Macaca mulatta: one gene and its partners. The protein of the gene in region 1 purifies or fractionates together with the protein of each later gene. This does not show direct contact. Links are inferred from orthologs where the notes say so. Each region holds a gene or a part of one and is shown on either strand. Other genes may lie near its edges.

The links.
Region 2: the proteins of OTUB1 (region 1) and UBE2E3 purify together in Homo sapiens (affinity purification with mass spectrometry; 3 studies listed by BioGRID and IntAct, counting the BioPlex papers as one, with this or other methods). This does not show direct contact. The link is inferred for Macaca mulatta from reciprocal best matches to the Homo sapiens genes OTUB1 and UBE2E3.
Region 3: the proteins of OTUB1 (region 1) and UBE2E1 purify together in Homo sapiens (affinity purification with mass spectrometry; 4 studies listed by BioGRID and IntAct, with this or other methods). This does not show direct contact. The link is inferred for Macaca mulatta from reciprocal best matches to the Homo sapiens genes OTUB1 and UBE2E1.
Region 4: the proteins of OTUB1 (region 1) and FOXM1 purify together in Homo sapiens (affinity purification with western blotting; 4 studies listed by BioGRID, with this or other methods). This does not show direct contact. The link is inferred for Macaca mulatta from reciprocal best matches to the Homo sapiens genes OTUB1 and FOXM1.
Region 5: the proteins of OTUB1 (region 1) and SLC7A11 purify together in Homo sapiens (affinity purification with western blotting; 5 studies listed by BioGRID, with this or other methods). This does not show direct contact. The link is inferred for Macaca mulatta from reciprocal best matches to the Homo sapiens genes OTUB1 and SLC7A11.

The regions. Positions count from the first base shown.
Region 1 is NC_133419.1:10,420,505-10,424,764, reverse strand, and holds the start of OTUB1 (ubiquitin thioesterase OTUB1), read left to right. Parts: upstream 1-1,448; 5' UTR 1,449-1,467; coding exon 1,468-1,630; intron 1,631-3,146; coding exon 3,147-3,208; intron 3,209-3,461; coding exon 3,462-3,560; intron 3,561-3,970; exon of another isoform or gene 3,971-4,141; intron 4,142-4,260. UniProt on the Homo sapiens protein: Hydrolase that can specifically remove 'Lys-48'-linked conjugated ubiquitin from proteins and plays an important regulatory role at the level of protein turnover by preventing degradation.
Region 2 is NC_133417.1:85,866,753-85,870,743, forward strand, and holds the start of UBE2E3 (ubiquitin-conjugating enzyme E2 E3), read left to right. Parts: upstream 1-1,465; intron 1,466-1,895; coding exon of another isoform or gene 1,896-1,938; intron 1,939-2,095; 5' UTR 2,096-2,120; coding exon 2,121-2,314; intron 2,315-3,991. Other genes in the region: uncharacterized protein LOC144333280, read right to left, coding at 144-1,375, 1,896-1,938. UniProt on the Homo sapiens protein: Accepts ubiquitin from the E1 complex and catalyzes its covalent attachment to other proteins. In vitro catalyzes 'Lys-11'- and 'Lys-48'-, as well as 'Lys-63'-linked polyubiquitination.
Region 3 is NC_133407.1:24,593,375-24,596,642, forward strand, and holds the end of UBE2E1 (ubiquitin-conjugating enzyme E2 E1), read right to left. Parts: intron 2,728-3,268; coding exon 2,580-2,727; coding exon of another isoform or gene 2,461-2,579; exon of another isoform or gene 1,933-2,460; intron 1,300-1,932; coding exon 1,202-1,299; 3' UTR 506-1,201; downstream 1-505. UniProt on the Homo sapiens protein: Accepts ubiquitin from the E1 complex and catalyzes its covalent attachment to other proteins. Catalyzes the covalent attachment of ISG15 to other proteins. Mediates the selective degradation of short-lived and abnormal proteins.
Region 4 is NC_133416.1:3,761,683-3,765,195, reverse strand, and holds part of FOXM1 (forkhead box protein M1), read left to right. Parts: intron 1-329; coding exon 330-521; intron 522-2,386; coding exon 2,387-2,515; intron 2,516-3,475; coding exon 3,476-3,513. UniProt on the Homo sapiens protein: Transcription factor regulating the expression of cell cycle genes essential for DNA replication and mitosis. Plays a role in the control of cell proliferation. Also plays a role in DNA break repair, participating in the DNA damage checkpoint response.
Region 5 is NC_133410.1:147,102,733-147,106,980, reverse strand, and holds the start of SLC7A11 (cystine/glutamate transporter), read left to right. Parts: upstream 1-1,440; 5' UTR 1,441-1,702; coding exon 1,703-1,979; intron 1,980-4,248. UniProt on the Homo sapiens protein: Heterodimer with SLC3A2, that functions as an antiporter by mediating the exchange of extracellular anionic L-cystine and intracellular L-glutamate across the cellular plasma membrane.

The DNA of each region.
Region 1 (4,260 bases):
CTGGGCTCAAGCAATTCTCCCAACTTGGCCTCCCAAAATGCTGGGATTACAGGCATAACCCACCAGACCCAGCCATCTTTGCCATTTGAGAAATTAAACGTGGCTGGGCGTGGTGGCTCATGCCTGTAATCCCAAAACTTTGGGAGACCAAGGTGGGCGGATTGCGAGGTCAGGAGATTGAGACCAGCCTGGCCAACATGGTGAAACCCCGTCTCTACTAAAAATTCAAAAAATTAGCCGGGCGTGGGTCCCAGCTACTCGAGAGGCTGAGGCAGGAGAACTGCTTGAACTTGGGAGGTGGAGGTTGCAGTGAGCTGAGATCGCGCCACTGCACTAAAGCCTGGGCGACAGCAAGACTCTCTAAAAAAAAAAAAACCCAAACAAACAAACAAAAATTAAACATAATTTTTAGATAATTCACAGGGAACTTAAATTATAAAGATTCCATGTATCCTTTACTCAGTCTCCCCTGCCCCCACTAACATCTTGCAAAAATGCAGTAAAGCCTACACCAGACTACTGACACAGTCAGGGTATTGCGCATTTCCACCTTCGCAACAATCCAGACTTTCCCTTTCACAGCCACATCCACTTCCCTCCAGCACCTCTGCTTGACTCTTGGCAACCATTATTTTTCTCTTTTGTGAAGTCTTTGCTTTTATAAAAACCCTGCTTTAGTGGTGGCTCGTGGCTGGAATCTCAGCTACTCTTCAGGCAGGGCCCGAAGATCACTTGTGCCCAGGAGTTCGAGACTACCCTATGCAACATAGTGAGACCCTTTCTTTTCTTCCTTATTTCTTTCTTTTTCTTTTTTTTTTTTTAAAGGCCCTGCTTTGTCACAACCAGAAGGACACAGAGCCCAAAGTTAGGTCCGAGGCTTTGGCCTTGACACCAAGGGACGCCGTCTCCCTGCCGGAAGCAGCTCACCAAAGCCGGCAGAGAACCCAGGCTCCGCGGGGCCACTGATGTGGGGCTCCGCGGGCGCCCTGGCGTTGGCCGACTTCCTGTCTCCTGGGCCAGATGCTGCTCCGCACTGCAGCAGTGGTCGCATGCAGTGCGTGCCGAAGCCCGCAGCAGGAATGCTGCCATTGGTGATTTTAATTTCACCTTCCTACTTCTCTCAATAACACGATCCGCGTTTCAAACTCCAGGGAAAAGAAAACGGAATTGGCTCCAGGAGGCTCTGCAATCACCACCGGGAACTTTGGGAGGCTGGGAAGATGAAGCCAAACCACTGTGTGGGGTGGAGATGCGGACCCGGGGCGGCCGGCCTCTCCTACAGGTCTCAGGTCGGTGGGCCTGGCGTGCTAGCACCTGCCTCGGGAGTGGAAGCCGATTCCTTGACAACGCCTAAGGGGATCCCGTTGCTAGGGCCGTTGCCAAGGCGGGGCCACGAGGAGGGGCTCACTTCCGGGAGGAGGGCAATTGGCAACCCGGAAGCGGTCGGCAGTGCGGCGCTGTTTAAAGATGGCGGCGGAGGAACCTCAGCAGCAGAAGCAGGAGCCGCTGGGCAGCGACTCCGAAGGTACAGCTCCAAGGAGGGATGTCCGGCCCAGGCTAGTGGGGGCGATGCCGGGCCAGCTGCTCCCGAGGAGGGAGGGGAGGCAGGGCCGCCGGCCCTGGGGTCGAGGTGCGCGGGGGGTCCCTTCCTCCACCTCCGCTGCCTCCCCTCCCCCTCACAATGGAAGGAGCTACCGCAGCGACCCCCGGCCGGGAGGGAGGACGGGCGAGGCGGGCCAAGGCCGGCGGCCCTTCTCCATCGTGCGCGCCCGGGGCGGGGCCTGGGCCGCCCCGCCCTCTGCCCGGCCCCTGGGCTCCCGGCTCCAGGGGCCCCGAGCCCTCCCGCCCCGGTCCTCGCAGTCAGGCTGAGGCCTAGGCCAGGGCCGAGCCCCCCGACCTGCTCCAGCGGCGACCCGCGCCTTGAGGGCCTCAAGTTTTGCTGGGCTACAGAGCACAAACGTCCGGGCGGGCCGTTCGGGATGTCGCAGGCGGCCCTGGGATGTGAGGGGCTGCGGGATCTGTCCCTGAGGCCTGCGACTTTTTCTGGTAGAGCCGCTACTTCTGGCCTTGCAGCCCCTTTCCACCTGCCTAGGCATTGTTAGTCTCCTGAGGAGATGGGCCGTTCAAAAATGGTCCCACTGTCTTTTCCCGCCTGTGAGTTGGGCCCTGGGGACCGCGTAGGTCATTGGGTGGCAGGGACAGCTCTTTTGCAAAGCAGTACGAAAAGGGGAGGTCGACGCCCAGCCAAGAATTTGGGATGGCGAACCCCAAAAGGGTTGACCTTAAAAGTCATTCAGCACACACACCTCACTCTCACCGAACACTTGTGGGAATGAGAAGTGGGAAAACTAGGCCCCGGAAGGGACTTGTTCACGATGACATTGAGAGAGAGCCAGGACTCAAATTCAGGTGTCCTGGCCACTCACCGATAGCTGCTCACAGTGGGGTCGACAGGGTGGAGCTGCCCAGCTGACTGATAATCCTAGAGCACGTACTGGTATGCCTCTAAGAAAGGCGGGGGTACTCGCCCCATTTTACAGTTGAGGAAAGGTCTCAGCCATGTGGTAGCCAAGGATAGGTATTGTGCTGAAGAGCTCAGCCTGGAATTAGACCAACCTGGGTTTGACCACAGGTCTTTGCTAGTTGTGACCTTGGGCAGATTGCTTCACCTCTCTGCATTTATTCTGTTAATTGTAAAATGGGCACCATTAACAATATCCAGCACCGCAAGAGGATGAAGGCGGTGATGGAGTAAAGTGCAGGCTCACAGGAAGCTCTCCTCCAGCCCAGGACTCTGCCTCCTCATCCTACTTTCTGCAAGAGACCACGCCTGGCCCCAGAACATTCCTAGGCTGCTGGGAAGTGATGTTAACGGGAGGAAGGGGGTGTCAGAGCTGGAAGAGTGCACGTTAGGGGTACCACAGTGCACCTCTGCCCCTTCATTTTAAAGATGAGGAAATGAAAGCCCAGAAGGGGAAGGGACTTTGCCAAGATGACACAGTGGAGGTGGAGCAGAATGTAACACACCTGTTTCCAGATTCGAAGCCTGTCGTCCTGCCCCTGGGCTGCTGTTGTCCCTGGCCCAGCTGCCTGCAGTGGAGACGGCCAGGACCTCCTGTAATCTTTGGCTTTTTTCCTTTTCCCAGGTGTTAACTGTCTGGCCTATGATGAAGCCATCATGGCTCAGCAGGACCGAATTCAGCAAGAGGTGAGGGGCTGCAGTGGGCAAGGGAGGCAGTGGCCAGCAGCCCCATTGTGGAAATGCATAGGCTGGGCTTGAGGCCTGTTGTCTGTCTCTACTTTGGAAGCTCCCTCCTCCCTAGGCTATGCTAGGTACTGGTGCTTTTCTGGGGGTTGCTGTGTCACTGGGTGACCAGCCCAGCCCTTTTGTAGTTATTCTGACTTAGGCATGGGTCACTCCATCTCCCTGCTGGGACATGACGGATCCCTGCCTCCTCCAGATTGCTGTGCAGAACCCTCTGGTGTCAGAGCGGCTGGAGCTCTCGGTCCTATACAAGGAGTATGCTGAAGATGACAACATCTATCAACAGAAGATCAAGGTGGGAGCCTGGCCAGAGTGGGTGGGAAGCACCCTGGGGATAGGGCAGGAGGGTGCCTGCTTCAGACTTGCTTCCTGCTGGGTCTGAGGGAATGGGGTGTTGGAGGACACCTCTCGTTACTGGTTCTTTTTTTTTTTTTTGAGACGGGTCTTGCTCTGTCGCCCAGGCTGGAATGCAGTGGCATGATCTCAGCTCACTGCAAGCTCTGTCTCCAGGGTTCATGCCATTCTCCTGCCTCAGCCTCCTGAGTAGATGGGACTACAGGCACCCTCCACCACGCCCAGCTAATTTTTTGTATTTTTTAGTAGAGATGGGGTTTCACCGTGTTAACCAGGATGGTCTCGATCTCCTGACCTTGTGATCCGCCCGTCTCGGCCTCCCAAAGTGGTGGGATTACAGGTGTGAGCCACCGCGCCCGGCCTTGCTGGTTCTTGAAGTGCGCAGGCTGGGGCTTCAAAAACACATCGATTCAATGCTTGAACCCAGTAGGTGGAAGTTACAGGGAGCCAAGATCGCACCATTGCACTCCAGCCTGGGCAACAAGAGCAAAACTTCATCTCAGGAAAAAAAAAAAAAAAAAGGGGGGACCGGGCACGGTGGCTCACACCTGTAATCCCAGTGCTTGAGGAGGTGGCCGGATCCTCTGAGGTCAGGAGTTGGAGACCAGCCTGGCCGACATGGTGAAACCCCATCTCTACTA
Region 2 (3,991 bases), on another chromosome or scaffold:
AAGCATCCGAAGGACGGTCTCTTTTGGCAGCGACAGTTGCAAGCTGTGAGCCAAAAATAAATAGAGGTTGGTCCCCTAATCAACAAATATATTCTACTCTCTTCAATGCCCAGGACCCCACCTTGTCCCTTCCTCCAGCTTACACGAGGGGCAAGTGGCAGCTCTTCTCCGCCTGCGTGCCTGGCCTCGCCAACAACACCCATTAGTCTCCCGTCTCCCGGGGCGGCGGGGGACTCCCAACCACGCGCCCAGGGCCCTTTCCCAGGTACTGGGGCCCCGGGAGCCACGACGTCCCCCACGCAGGCGAACGGGATGGAACTAGCCCTGGGGACGCGGGTAGCCCAATGGGCAGCCTCCGCCCGGAGGCGGGCCCAGGCCGGAAGCCACCCCGCGGCACAGCGGCCCCACGATACGGTGCCCGCGCCCCCGCCTTCTCTGGCACAGGCTCCGCGGCCAAGGGCGGCAGGGGCCAGCCCGCCAGGTCCCCGCCGCGCTCTTTGTCCTGGCCGCGCGCGGGCGGACGCGTGCACCCCCCGGGTGAGGGGAGGTGCGGGGAGCGCGCGCGGGAGCGCGCGGGAACAGCTCGCGCCCGCCGGGCGCCGGCGGCGCGCGCCCCTCCGCCAGGCAAGCAGCGAGCACGCGCGCCGCCGCCGCGCCCGCCCCTCCCCCCGCGTTCGCCTCGGAACTTGCTGACTGCGCGGCCGGGAGGAGCCGAGCCGGGCGGCGGCGGCGGGAGGCCACAGCGCGCGGGGGTCTCCCGCGTCCCCTCCGCCTCGCCGGGAGCTCGCGCCCTCGCCCAGCCGAGCTCCCACCCCCCCTTTTTTCCGAAGGCGCTGGGCGGCGCCACCCTCCGGCCGGAGCCCGGCACTGCACAACCCCCTCCGACTTTCAATGTTCCACACTCCCCGGCCAGAGCCTCCTCGGCTTCTTTTTTTCCCTCCCCCCCCTTCCCCCCCCCACAGCTGCCTCCATTTCCTTAAGGAAGGGTTTTTTTCTCTCTCCCTCCCCCACACCGTAGCGGCGCGCGAGCGGGCCGGGCGGGCGGCCGAGGTAAGGCGGAGGGGCCGGGGGGCCGCGTGGGGGGCGGCCGGGGCGGCGGCGGCTGCGGTGGGGGAGGGGGCGGGGGCGGGCAGCTTTGTTCGCGCCGGGCGCCCGCGCCGCCGGTGTCCGCGAGCCGCGGCGGGGCCGGCCGGGCTGCTCGCATCACTTGGCGCCCGGCGCGGCGAGCGCTGCCCGCGGCCCCCGCGCGGCCCTCCCCACAAAGGGCCGCGGAGCTGCGTGGCCGCCGCCGCCGGCCGCGGCTCGCCTCCGCGGGCGCGGAAATTTGTTGCACTTCTTGGGGCTTTGTTTGTTTGTTTGTTTTTCCTCTGGGTTTCTTATTTTTTTCGTTATTTTGGACAAAATGTCGGTCCGTGATGTAAAAATTGAGCGAGGAACCTTGGTGGCATTGGGAGCTTTGCAGAAGGTGCAGTTTGAATTCTGCTTTTCCCAGGGTGGCAGCTAGGTCTTGGCCAGATGAATCTTCGCTGCTGGCGGTGGAAACAGCTAGAGGAGCTCGTTAGTTGATTTTTAAATTTCCAAGTGTTGTGTTTAAAGCCTTTACGTGCACTGAGAAGGAATCGCCACCTTAAATAAGCATATGGGCGATTAACAGGGTGTGTTTTCCTCTCGGAAAGGGAATTTGGTAGCTTTGACCAATGTCAGTGTGTAAATATTTAGACGTTATTAGTGACTTTTAAACATTTTTTCAGCGAGATCTGTTATTTACAGTATGTCATATGTTATTAATGCTTGTTGCCTAAGTTCCTTGGCAAATCTGTTTCATGCCTTCTGAGAAAGTAGACAATTGATAGATTGTCCAAGAGATGGAAAAAAATGTGAGTGGGTTTTCTAACTTGAGTTCGGCAAATCCCTGAACGCTGGCGTTGTGTGACACATCACCTCCCTTGTAACCCTTGTTGTATGATGAAATAAGTGTGAACACTTTTGAAGCTTTTTCATTACAATACGATATTAGATGAATAGAAGAAAATGCTGTTGGTTTATTTCCTAGATTTAACATTTTCTCCCCATCCTCCCCTGTTCTCTTTAAAAGTTTTCCAAGAGATAACTTCACCAAGATGTCCAGTGATAGGCAAAGGTCCGATGATGAGAGCCCCAGCACCAGCAGTGGCAGTTCAGATGCGGACCAGCGAGACCCAGCCGCTCCAGAGCCTGAAGAACAAGAGGAAAGAAAACCTTCTGCCGCCCAGCAGAAGAAAAACACCAAACTCTCTAGCAAAACCACTGCTAAGTTATCCACTAGTGCTAAAAGGTAATGTGTAAAAGAAGGATCCAGCACACTTTGTCAGGTTGTCTTCCAGGTGGTTGGACGCTTTTGTTGGTTTTACATCAGTAGCAATAGTTCAGAAATATTTACTTCATTATCAGTTTATTTGTACTTGAATGAGTTGTCATTCTTTAGGTGGTATGTATGCAACCTTGCTAGAATTATGCTTTTAAGCAAACTTATTCTGTACTTCGGTAACTTCAGTTGAGTATCCTTGAGTAGAGATTAGACTAACATTCTGACAGATTGTTTAAGGAGTTGGCAAGGAAAATTTGGTGAACCCAAATTAGATGGTACTTTGGGGATGTTTCCTTTTATGAGTCATAATCTTCTTTAATGAAATTGACACTTCCAGAGATTAGCAGGGCCTCTCTTCATGAAACTTAATGATCAGAAATGATCATATTTGCTAGAAAATTGCAAATTCAGGCCTTTGCTATGTTTGAAAGCAGATTTAAAATCGTGCTGCAAATCTGCTTACAGTTTTACAAAACATGACTTTAAATCATGTATCACAGGTAACTTTCGTGGTTAAATTATGATTATCCCTCCCTGTGCTTGTGAGGGCAAATCAAACTGAAAAGTAGCCCTTTACAATTTGAGGTGTCACTGGTGATAGAAAACTTTCATTGTCCTTGGACCTCTTCACTCTGAAACTTGTGGATGTGCTTGACAAGTTAATACTCAACAGCAGGAGAAACATATTTAATTGGATGTAAGTGGAAGATCATTTGTTTCCTATTGATTTATATTTTCTGATAGAGAAGAAAAGATTCTGTCAATGAGACTCTGTCAGTGGTAGTAGTAGTGGAACATCCACAAACTCTAGTAATTATACATAAAATGTATAATCTCTACAGCGTTAGCCAATGTTGACATTTTGTTAATTTTTATTGATCACAACTAAAGGAAAAAATATTTCTACAAATACTGCATTCTGTGGTGATTCATAAATACTCATATTTTTCTATGGATTTTCACCTTTATTGTCTCAGTAATGATGTATTAATAACTTGAGAATATTTTTGAATGGCAGCAGTCTTTGACATAATATAAAATCCTTCTCAATTTGGTATAGTGTTGATGCAGAACATATTAGACACGTCTAAAGTTTTGAAAGCATCTTAAATTTGAATCAAATCAGAGAACTGCTTTTCTCCCCCTTAACTCAGGCCTATGTATTTTCTCTTTCTGTCAATATTTACTAAATTTAAGTGCTGTGCCTATGATCAGGGAAAACAGAAATGGGTAAATTAGAATGTCATGTAGTCTTCGAAAGTTTTTCACCAGTAAAGATATTTGTAAATTTTAAACTTTTTTTTTGACAGATAAAATATTGTCAGAACTGTTAATGTGCTGTTGCAGTAGCCTGTTAATTTTTACCTCAGTAAAAGTCACTCGAAGTCCTTGTCAAATATTCCAGTGCTTTCCCTCCTCCCTTTTTGTCTCATTTGCATATAAGCTTGAAAAGAGAATTTCTTTGGTAAAAAGTGTTTTGAAATAGATATTATATTCTTTACTGAGTACTAGTGGATGAGTATTTTTCAAATCAAGTGTAAATGACTTACTTATTTGCAGCAGCAAGTGAGAAAAAAAGCTGCAAAGTTTCTGTTAAGGGATTTGGGTTATGCCTCTGAGAACAAAGAGGAAGCAGCCATGTTA
Region 3 (3,268 bases), on another chromosome or scaffold:
TGGACAAATGCTTTCATAATGATTTTTAAATAAGTACCTTCCAGTTTGTTTCCTGCTAATGCAACTTAGTCTATATTAGTACAGACAGAGTTACCAATTCTTTTTAAATTCTGTAATGAAAGACACACAGAAACAGCACTGCTGGGTCATGCCATGTGTATACTTAGGTACTGCCAAAATGCCCCCTACGGCAGTGTACCAGTTTATCCCTGACAGAACCCATTTCCCATGTACTTGCTACTACAGCATCTGCAAGTCAGAAAACGCTTTAAAAAAAAATGCAGTAGGGTTCGTCTTTGAAGCCTAAATGGGGTAGATTATTTAACCTTGTCTAGGATACCTCAACATCTACAGCTGTGTAAAGTACAGATCCTAATATGGGTAAATAATACCTACTAAATATGCATTATTTTTAGCTTGTTTTAGAAGCAGATACCTATCGATTTCAGAAGAATCTGCAAACAGCAACCAAAAGGCAAAATAAAAGTAAATGAACACAGCAGTATTAGGCGGTTTTTAATATTGTTTATTAGCACAGTAACAAATGCAGACTTAAGTAGTCCACAACATATAACCAATCCACTGAGCAACTCCTATTCCACGCCTTACAGTTAACAGCTTAAGGTATTTCACTACAGGTTTTCACAAGTCCTGATTTAAACCTTTTTTAAACAAAGTAGATTGGCATATAAAATAAAACACATTACTCATCTCCTATATGGTGTCTTACAGCCACGTGTCCATTTTATATATATGAGATGACAGTCTCTAAAAACTCTGTTAAATATCAATGTTCCCTTCCAAGAAGGGAAAACAAATTCCAATTTTGTTTTAAACAAAAAGTATGTAGTCTTAGAGGGACTTTACATAAATGGCCATATGTGTAACCTGTACAAAATTAAGCTGTTTTAAATTTACAGACTACAAGCAACTGAACCCAAATGTCTAAATGTACATTCTTTTCTGTACTACATTTCAGCTAATATTGCAGAACTAATGACAATTTTAAAAGTTGCTATTACCAATTCTGTCTACTGTAGCAAGATACCTTAAGTTACAACAAAATCTTAGGAAATAAGACTGAATAATATCTGTTATAGAAATACCCTACTCTTTACCAACTCCCACCCTCCCTGACCCCTTCAGAATCATAAGCAGCTCTCTTCTGTGACAAATAATGTAAGAATTGTGAAAACCCAGTTTATGTAGCGTATCTCTTGGTCCACTGTCTGGCCATTCTGTCATGTTCTGCTCTGTTGGTCATATACTGAGTGGCAATACTTCCCACCAAGGGGTCGGCTGGAAGAAAAGAATGTAGATTACTTTGGAGAAAGGAAAAGAACATTTTAAACTTTAGCAAATACATTAGTGACAGCTTGGGCAGACATGTACAACCAAGTATGTGTGATCAAACCCATCTTCGAAACACCACTCCACTATGCCGGATATTTTTCCATCAAAAATTTAAAAATCGTAACATGGGAGGAAGAGGGAATGCTCAGGCTTTAGTTTACTGGTCTGTCTGTATCTTAGTTCATTCCATTTTTCTCCCAATAAACAACACCCGATTGGAGTTTCTTTACTCTTATGTGTTAGGCTGAGTTCAGTGGAGACTGGAACGGTCAAGGCTCCAGACTACAATGAACATCCAACTGTGTTGATGTGACCCTTAGCTCAGTGTCACCAGTTATGGCATTGTGAATACTGTGAAGTCTTCGGGGCTGTTGCAATGCAACACTATTTACCTTTACACTGGTTAAAGAGCCAGGTTGCCAGGCAAAACCTGGACCTCCAATTAAGTATAGTATTTCTCTGAATCTTAGGATCTTTAATAACTAAATTTATATTTGGTTTACCTAGAAAATAAAATAAATAATATATGTGTGTATAGACACACATATATATATTTATATATATATACACACATTTTTTTTTTTTTTTTTTTGAGACAGGGTCTCACTTTGCCACCCAGGCTGGAGTTCTGTGCAGCGGCATGCTCATGGCTCACTGCAGCCTTGACCTTCTGGGTTCAAACAATCCTGCCACCTCAGCCACCCTAGTAGCTGGGACTACAGAAAAATATTTTTTAAATGAAATGAAGTCCCAAAAAAGTCACAATTCAATAGTCACTAAGTATTTAACAAATACCATTTTCAAAACTGAGTGCCATCTCAGTGACCAGCTATGGGCACATGCCCACTGAACCCCACAGGCAAGGTGAGGCTTGCCAGGCAGATGACTTGGCATTTAGAAGTGTATGATTTGTTTTATAAGAACTATATGGGAAATTAAGCAACAGGAAAAAAAAATAGAGGGAAGAATAACTGAAACTGTAAAAGCCCAAGGCAAACTTCGTCTTCAGTTTAAAATACCTTGTTGCTAGAATATACTGATTAATGAAGTTGTATGTCTCAACTAGTAGACTGAACTTCTCGATTAAAACTTTCTTTGAAAAGCAGATTAGTTTTTATATTCATAAAGTTTTGCAGAAAAATTAGTTTTGTCCTTTGAAAGCTTTTGGAAACAAGTACTTTTCAGGTGAGGAAGAATAAAACAAGGTAAAGAATTATTAACCTTACCAGGATTACAGTCTGTAAGAAGTGAGCAGATAGAAAGGAGGACTTTAGAAATGGTTAGTGCTGGACTCCAATTATCTTTCAATATGTCCAAGCAAATAACACCTTGACTGTTAATATTACAATGATAGATTCTTGTCCGAAATGTAACCTAAGGAAAACAAGGAAGTGTCAAACAATAGTTAAAAAGCAAACAAACTTTTTACTAAATACTCAACTGAATGACCCTAATTAGAAAGAAAGAAAAAAAAACTCCCAGATAGGTAGTTTTTAAAAAGGTGAATAAAAGCAGTTTTAATTAAAGCTGTCAAGAAGATAGACTTGTTTAATAAATTTGATTAGAAAGTGTTCACTGACCATCTCAGGGACTGTGTCAATTTCATTTAAAATGTTATGTCCCCTGATGGTAAGTTCAGTACTTCCTAATTTTATCTTTAGCAATTTTAAATCTTTTAAATATTAACATTTCCAAGTCTGAATAGGTAATTGTTTGCTGACCTCTTGTGCTAGCTGGTAGTACTACACTGCCTCAAAGTAAGCTTTAAAATACTTAAAAGCTTTAAAATATTTAAAATCGTAAGTCTCTCTTAAAAACTGAAGTGCAACATAATAGGTACCTAAAGATAATTAAACAACATACTTAGCAAACAATGACTACACCCAAAAAGCTGAACAAAATTTGAAGTCTACTT
Region 4 (3,513 bases), on another chromosome or scaffold:
ATGGTTTTAGTGTAACATCAATGCTTTGAGAATCAAAGTACATACTCAAACTTTCCTGAGAAATTACAACTGGAAGGGACTGGATTTTCTCCAAATTCAACAAAATGAATGATGACAAAACCAGTTTCTTATTGGCTAGGGTCTAGGCTAGATCATCTCCAAGATCCTTCCCAACTCTAAAATTGTATTCTATGAGATAGCGGTCTCAGATGAGTTTGTTTCTAGTACCATCCTATGGGATAAAGGTTTCTCTAGATATTCTTTAAGGGCTTGGGTTGGGGTAGTTCTCATGAACTCTTTTGTGTCATTCCCTTTGTCATAATCCTCAGGTTGAGGAACCTTCGAGACCATCAATGTCCTGGCAGAACTCTGTGTCTGAGCGGCCACCCTACTCTTACATGGCCATGATACAATTCGCCATCAACAGCACTGAGAGGAAGCGCATGACCTTGAAAGACATCTATACTTGGATAGAGGACCACTTTCCCTATTTTAAGCACATTGCCAAGCCAGGCTGGAAGGTAATATGTCCCAATGCAACCAAAATCAAGGTCAGTCCAGCCTGACAGACTGTCTCCAGTGCTGTGCTGCAACTTGTATCTGGGACAGCAGTTAAGTGCAAAGGATACTAGAATGATAAACGTATCTTTTGGGTTGTGACTCAATCTTATTGAATCCAGGCAAAATCATTAACAAGAGCTCTTTAACTACTTCATCTGTTACTACCTAAAGTTCACGAAGAGTCTTCCATGTAGCACTCAAGCCCACTTTTCTGCTACACTGAACAGCAGTCCTAGATGCCAGCAGCTAGAGTGGCTAAGTAGTTTTATGAAAATGTCTTGATTAAAAAAAAAGAATGCTGTGAACCTTATGACCCAAGACGTCATCTCCTATAGCATCACATACCATTTCTAGTGGGCAGGGGTTTTCCTTTCACTTCATTCATGGAAAGACCAAGATGCCTGGGAGTCAGTGTAGCTCATGCAGTTGGTCAGTGTCAGAGCCACAAATGAGGTCTTCTCACGGGTGCTCAGTTCCAAGCCAAGTGTGCTTTGTTTTCCTCATGGTAGAACTCTTTCTTTTTTTTTTTTTTTTGAGACAGAGTCTCGCTCTGTCGCCCAGGCTGGAGTGCAATGGCAGATCTCAGGTCACTGCAACCTTCACCTACAAGGTTCAAGCGATTCTCCTGCCTCAGCCTCCCAAGTAGCTGGGACTACAGGCATGCACCACCACACCTGGCTAATTTTTTTGTATTTTTAGTAGAGACGGGTTTCACCATGTTGGTCAGGCTGGTCTCGAACTCCTAACATCAAATGATCCGCCCGTCTCGGCCTCCCAAAGTGCTGGGTTACAGGCATGAGCCACTGCACCTGGCCCCTCATGGTAGAACTCTTAACTTTACTCCCTTCCATCAGCTTACTTTCCTAGTTTTTTTTTGTTTGGTTGGTTTTTTGAGACAGGGTCTCACTCTGTTGCCTGGGCTGGAATACAGCCTTAGCCCCTTGGGCTCAAGCTCTTCCCTCCTCAACCTCCCAAGTAGTTGGGATAACAGGTGCACTACCACAGTCCACTAATTTTTTTTGTTGTTGTTGTAAAGGCAGTTGCCCAGGCTGGTTATTATGTTGCCCAGGCTGGTCTGAACTCCTAGTCTCAAGCACTCCTCCTGCCTTAGCCTCTCAGTGCACTGTGATTACAGGTGTGAGCCCCCACACCCAGCCTTAATTTCCTAGTTTCCTGTTTGCTTGTTTGTTTGTTTGAGGCAGGGCCTCACTCTGTCAGGCTGGAGTGCAGTGACACGATCTTGGCTTGCTTCATTCTCTGCCTCCCAGGTTCAAGTGATTCTCCTGCCTCAGCCCCCCGACTAGTTGGGACTACAGGCATGCGCTACCATGCCTGGCTAATTTTTATATTTTTGACAGAGACAGGGTTTTGCCATGTTTGCTAGGCTGGTCTCAAACTCCTGGCCTCAAGTGATCCACTCGCCTCGGCCTCCCACAGTGCTGGGATTATAGGCGTGAGCCACCACGCCAGGCCTAATTCCCTAGTTTCTTAATTTCTCTGACCCACCTGTCTTGCTATTGATCACTGCCTCACAGCCTTACTCTGCTTTTCTAGCCCCTGACAGCTATCCAGGTCTTTTCTTTATCACAATCTAAGGTTGACATCAGTCTTTGTTCCCGTAGAATAGATGGGTTTATGGCTGAGGGTGACAGCTCTGCGGTGTGGAGTGTGAGGAGAGTTGCCGAGAGACAGGGCTACAAAGACACCAGAGGAGCCTGTGCTAAGCACAGTGGGAGGGGCCTGAGGCTGGTTTCCCCATGTGTTTGAAGGGTGATGTTTCTGAACCTAAAGTAACTGATAACCAGTTGTCTTGCTCTTCTTCCAGAACTCCATCCGCCACAACCTTTCCCTGCATGACATGTTTGTCCGGGAGACGTCTGCCAATGGCAAGGTCTCCTTCTGGACCATTCACCCCAGTGCCAACCGCTACTTGACATTGGACCAGGTGTTTAAGGTGAATGCCCTGCTTTTCTCTAAATAGGGCCTAAGTTGGAGGTCGTCATAGCCATCTCAAAAGGAAACAAGTTCTGCTAGTGATGCTTTCATTTGATCGGGGGAGAGTTAGAAGCCAGCCAATTAGTGACTTGCACAAAACCCACTGAATTAAGTACAGTTGACAAATACCAAATGACACATTTTTGTGCTAGACCAGAGCAAGGAGAGGGCTGTTCTGACCCAACAGAGAGGGCTTCCCAGGGCAGTGTTTTCCTAACTTCCCTGTGAATGGGAATTGCCTGGGACATTGTTAAAACACAGCTTCCCAGACCCCTCTCTTGGGGCTCTTGATTTAGTGCTTCTGGGATGGGCCCAGGAATTTGTATTTTTAGCAAGCATCTCAGATGATTCTTCCAAGAAATTCTGGGAATGCTTGCTCTAAAAAAAGCCCTTCCTGCCGGGTGCGGTGGCTCACGCCTGTGATCCCAGCACTTTGGGAGGCCGAGGCAGGTGGATCACCTGAGGTCGGGAGTTCGGCCTGACCAACATGGAGAAACCCCGTCTCTACTAAAAATACAAAATTAGCCGGGTGTGGTGGCGCATGCCTGTAATCCCAGCTACCTGGGAGGCTGAGGCAAGAGAATCCCTTCAACCCAGGAGGCAGACGTGGTGGAGAGCCGAAATCGTACTACTGCACTCCAGCCTGGGCAGTAAGAGTGAAACTCCGTCAAAAAAAAAAAAAAAGCCCTTCCTTAGGCTGCAGACCAGAAGCTGAGCTACTAGAACGTCTCTTTAGACAGAAGCTATTTTGGCATTTCAGAGTGCCTACAAGGCTGCAGCCATTCTCCTGGGAGGGACGGTTGTCTGGGGTGTCTTTTGTCATCGGTCAGGAATAGGTGTTTTTCCCGATCTGGTCCAATTGACCACGTTGGTGGTAACTTCATCTCCTTTCTCTCCCACAATGCCTGGCCGCCACCAGCCACTGGACCCAGGGTCTCCACAATTGCCCGAGCACTT
Region 5 (4,248 bases), on another chromosome or scaffold:
AGATAATTTAAAAAGGAGAAAATGTTGCCTCAATTATTTGGATGGCAAAGCATTGAGGTGGTGTCATTTTCTCAGGTGCCAACACAACAGAAAATGGTCTGACCTTTTCGATGCTACTTTCCTAATGGCAATTTCTTATTTCCTTCTTTGATCATCCTGACCATACTTGACTCCCTTCTTTCCCTGCCAACCTCTCGCACACAGGCTTTTTGTTTGTGGTTTTTGTTCAAAGGTTCAGAAGCATATTTAATGGTGCATATAAAGCTAGCTTCAGGGTAATGATAACATTCAATTCTTCTCACTGCATTCAAAACCACATGTAACTATAGCCAAAAATGATATCTAGGATTTCTTTTCTTTTCGTATTTATTTTTTCTTGACACTTGGTTGAGAAAGTTAGAAGGGTTTAAAAATGTTTTGCCTTTTTGACAATTACAAAGTAAATATTTTAATCTTAGCTTACATGTTTAATGCATTTTAAATTTATAATCATAATATAACAATAGTTTATATAATGTGGAAAAAGTCATACATAATATCATTACTTTCTGTAACTACTATTCTGTGTTTTCCTTTACAGTCTTTTGCTATATGCATATTTTTATGTAATTGTAATTGTGTAATTTTGAACTTAGAAAATTTTTTTGGTAATTCAAAGGAACAATATGTATCTTTTACATTAGTTAAAAAAATCACCTTGTGCTAATGAGAATCAGAAAATGACTATTTTCTGGAGTCATGGTGAATTTTATATTTGTCACACGCCGATGTGATTTAAAATGTTGGTTTATTATGAGTAGTAAGAAATAATTTTATCTTTTAATGTTGAGGAAGGCTTACAGTTGTATGTATGTGACACAGTATAAAGTGTAGAATCTTTTTAATTTTGTAAATGTTAGATTTGACTGTATTGCCTTATAAGAAACTCAAAATAAAAAATAAAAATAAGCATTACACAAATTATGAAACTCAAACTGTGTTGTTATAAAAAATGCAGCTTTAGGATACATTCTACTCACAAAACAGTCACGTGTAAAATGTTTTTATACATGCATTAAAGAAAAAGAAACTCCTTAAAATGAAGTAACTATTTCCTGTTTCATTTTGTTTGAACAGCTTTTGTTGCTCACTACGAGTTGCTTTAAATCTCTGGGAAGGTCTGTTCCGAATTTACTACTTCTGGATTGGCCAAAGTCTCTTTAAAATGTGTGCTTTGTTCTCTAAAAAGCTTAGGTCAGTTGAGCAACAAGCTCCTCCTGTTTTTTTTTTTTTTTTTGAAAAAAAAAAGAGCTGAGTAATGCTGGAGCCTTCTCATGTGGCTGATGCAAACCTGGAGAATTTGCATCATCATTTAGCTGTAGTAAGTTGGTGTGACAGGCAGGCGCTTAAATACAAGCCCATGAGGAAGCTGAGCTGGTTTGTAATGATAGGGCGGCAGCAGCAGCAGCAGCAGCGGTAGAACGAGGAGGTGGAGAACTGGGAGCACGATGCATACACAGGTGTTTCTGATTAGTAATTAGCCGCTGTGAAGGATAAAGCACACCTTTGGGTTTTTACCTGTGAACACTATAGGGCTGAGAAAGACAGTCTGAAAGCAAAGAAAGCAAAGAGGAAGACCTCGATCAGTAACACCAAGAGACACCAAAGTTGAAAGTTTTGTTTTCTTTCCCTCTGTTTTATTTTTCCCCCGTGTGCCCCTACTATGGTCAGAAAGCCTGTTGTGTCCACCATCTCCAAAGGAGGTTACCTGCAGGGAAATGTTAACAGGAGGCTGCCTTCCCTGGGCAACAAGGAGCCACCTGGGCAGGAGAAAGTGCAGCTGAAGAGGAAAGTCACTTTACTGAGGGGAATCTCCATTATCATTGGCACCATCATTGGAGCAGGAATCTTCATCTCTCCTAAGGGCGTGCTCCAGAACACAGGCAGCGTGGGCATGTCTCTGACCATCTGGACGGTGTGTGGGGTCCTGTCACTATTTGGTGAGTGCAACTTTTTCTCGGGGGGGAGGGGGCGTGGCTGTGGGACTGGAAAGCTTGCTTTCTGGGAAAGCAAATGATCATTTTTGAGGAGTGAATGGATGGCAAAGGCCACACCAAATTTTTAAAATTTTTGTTCAGGTACGTGAACTACCCAGACGCAGAATCCACTGTTGGTGTGATCTGGAACGCCCTCAAATTGTTTCCTACAGGCTGTACTTTCTTTTCCTGACTAAGACAGGCTATTTTCTGACTTTTCCCTGTGGGATGAGAGCAAAGACTAACTTTCATGACCCAGTAAAAAACATGCACACTTTCTGTGCCGGGCAGTTGTGCTTAGCTTGGGCACTCTGGCAGCTGGCATGTTGAATGAAACACCTGGCATGGCCTATTTAGACATAGAACGGAGTGTTCAGCAGAAGCCTTACTGACTTTTTATTAGCCTAACAAATGGGTGGCAGTCTTTTTAAAAATATTTTTTAAGTTCATATGCTTGTCACCTCTTAATATCCTTTCAAAAGTCCTTGGCATGAGAGAGAAATGTATGATGGCGCATAACTCAATCCCTATCATAACGGGGCATATTGCAATGGCCTGAGCAAATTTCAAATTACTTTTCAACCTTTCATCTCTTCTCAATACCCATACACTTTTGCAATATAAGTTTTAAAACTTCAGTTGGGTGTTAGTTTTCTGTGCTTGCCCAGATCTGTTTTTATCATTTATATTTCACTTGTTCTCCAGGGACACAGATAATTTGTCCACCTGTTCACTGAATTAATCCGAAGGGAACTGGTAGAAGTATAATTATGAATTTTTCTTCAAAATTTATGTCTCTTCTGTTGATTTGAGAATTAATAATAAAGAGATAAATAAATGCCCCTTATGAAATAGGCAAATTACTAGAGAGCTACCTGAGTTTGTTGTAAAGATGATAGAAACTGGTGAACTGTCAAACATTAAATTTGATTTATGCTATGAAGATTTGTTTACTCTTCTTGGGAAAGATTCTATACTTTAAAGTTGCTCTTTGTCTTAACTCTAGGACTAACACTAACAAGTACTAACACTAACTCTAGGACTAACTAACAAGTACTAACTCTTGTTCCCATGTGTACCAATCCATTCATTCTTTCCACTCAGGCCTTGTGATGTTTTAAATCATTGGTTTGACGCTCATCTAGATAACTCAAATTCCTTTTTTTTTTTTTTTTTTTTTTTTGAGATGGAGCCCCGCTCTGTTGCTGAGGCTGGAGTGCAGTGGTGTGATCTCGGCTCACTGCAGCCTCCGTCTCCCAGGTTCAAGCAATTCTCCTGCCTCAGCCTCCTGAGTAGCTGGTACTAGAGGTGTGCGCCACCACGTTTGGCAAATTTTTTGTATTTTTGTAGAGATGGGGTTTCATTGTGTTAGCCAGGTTGGTCTCAATCTCCTGACCTCATGATCCATCTGCCTCAGTCTCCCAAAGTGCTGGAATTACAGGCATGAGCAGTGACACTGCTCCTGGTCCTCAAATTCCATTTTTAGGAAGAAGTTATTTATTTATTTTAAATAAAACTTGTTAAAACAAGGTCATAGTATAGAAAGATTTATAGAGGAATTATTTGGGGTTTTTAGAAAGAGTTTGTGGTATTATTTATATGACTAACTTGTGCTTTATTAAATAGTCAGTAACAATTGTGTATCATTATTTCCCAGTATTACTTCCCATCTTTATAAAATAATCTGGAGTAATACCATTACGAGAAACTCTAATAGTACCCTTAGCCCTATTAACTTTAAAATAGCTCTGGTGTATGCACTTGTAGATGAAGAGAAACCTAATTGTTGATCATCTTAAATGACTTTGTGCACCTCAGTCTTTAAATCTTCCTACAGCACTTTATATATTCAGAATAAATCAATATCTAACCAGAAAAACCACAACCAGTTTACTGGACTTTGCATACTTATGTGCATGCAGCTTCCACTATGGGATTCAATTTTTGCACATAATAAAAGATTATTCAGATGTAATAAAATAGATCAGTATGAGTATTGAACTAGTTAAAGTGATGTTGACTTGCACTATGAAAATATGCTTATGCATAAGTATTACATATCATCTTAAGCAGAAGCTCAAGAACAATAAAAAGAGAGAAACAGCTAAGGAGACTAGCTAACATTACACTTGAGCTGGTGTTCTTTGATTAATAATTGAAGGGAGTGTGCTTTTGTATTAATCTACTTATCTTTATTTGCATTGCATTTGTCACTTAAGTTACCAGAAGCTTC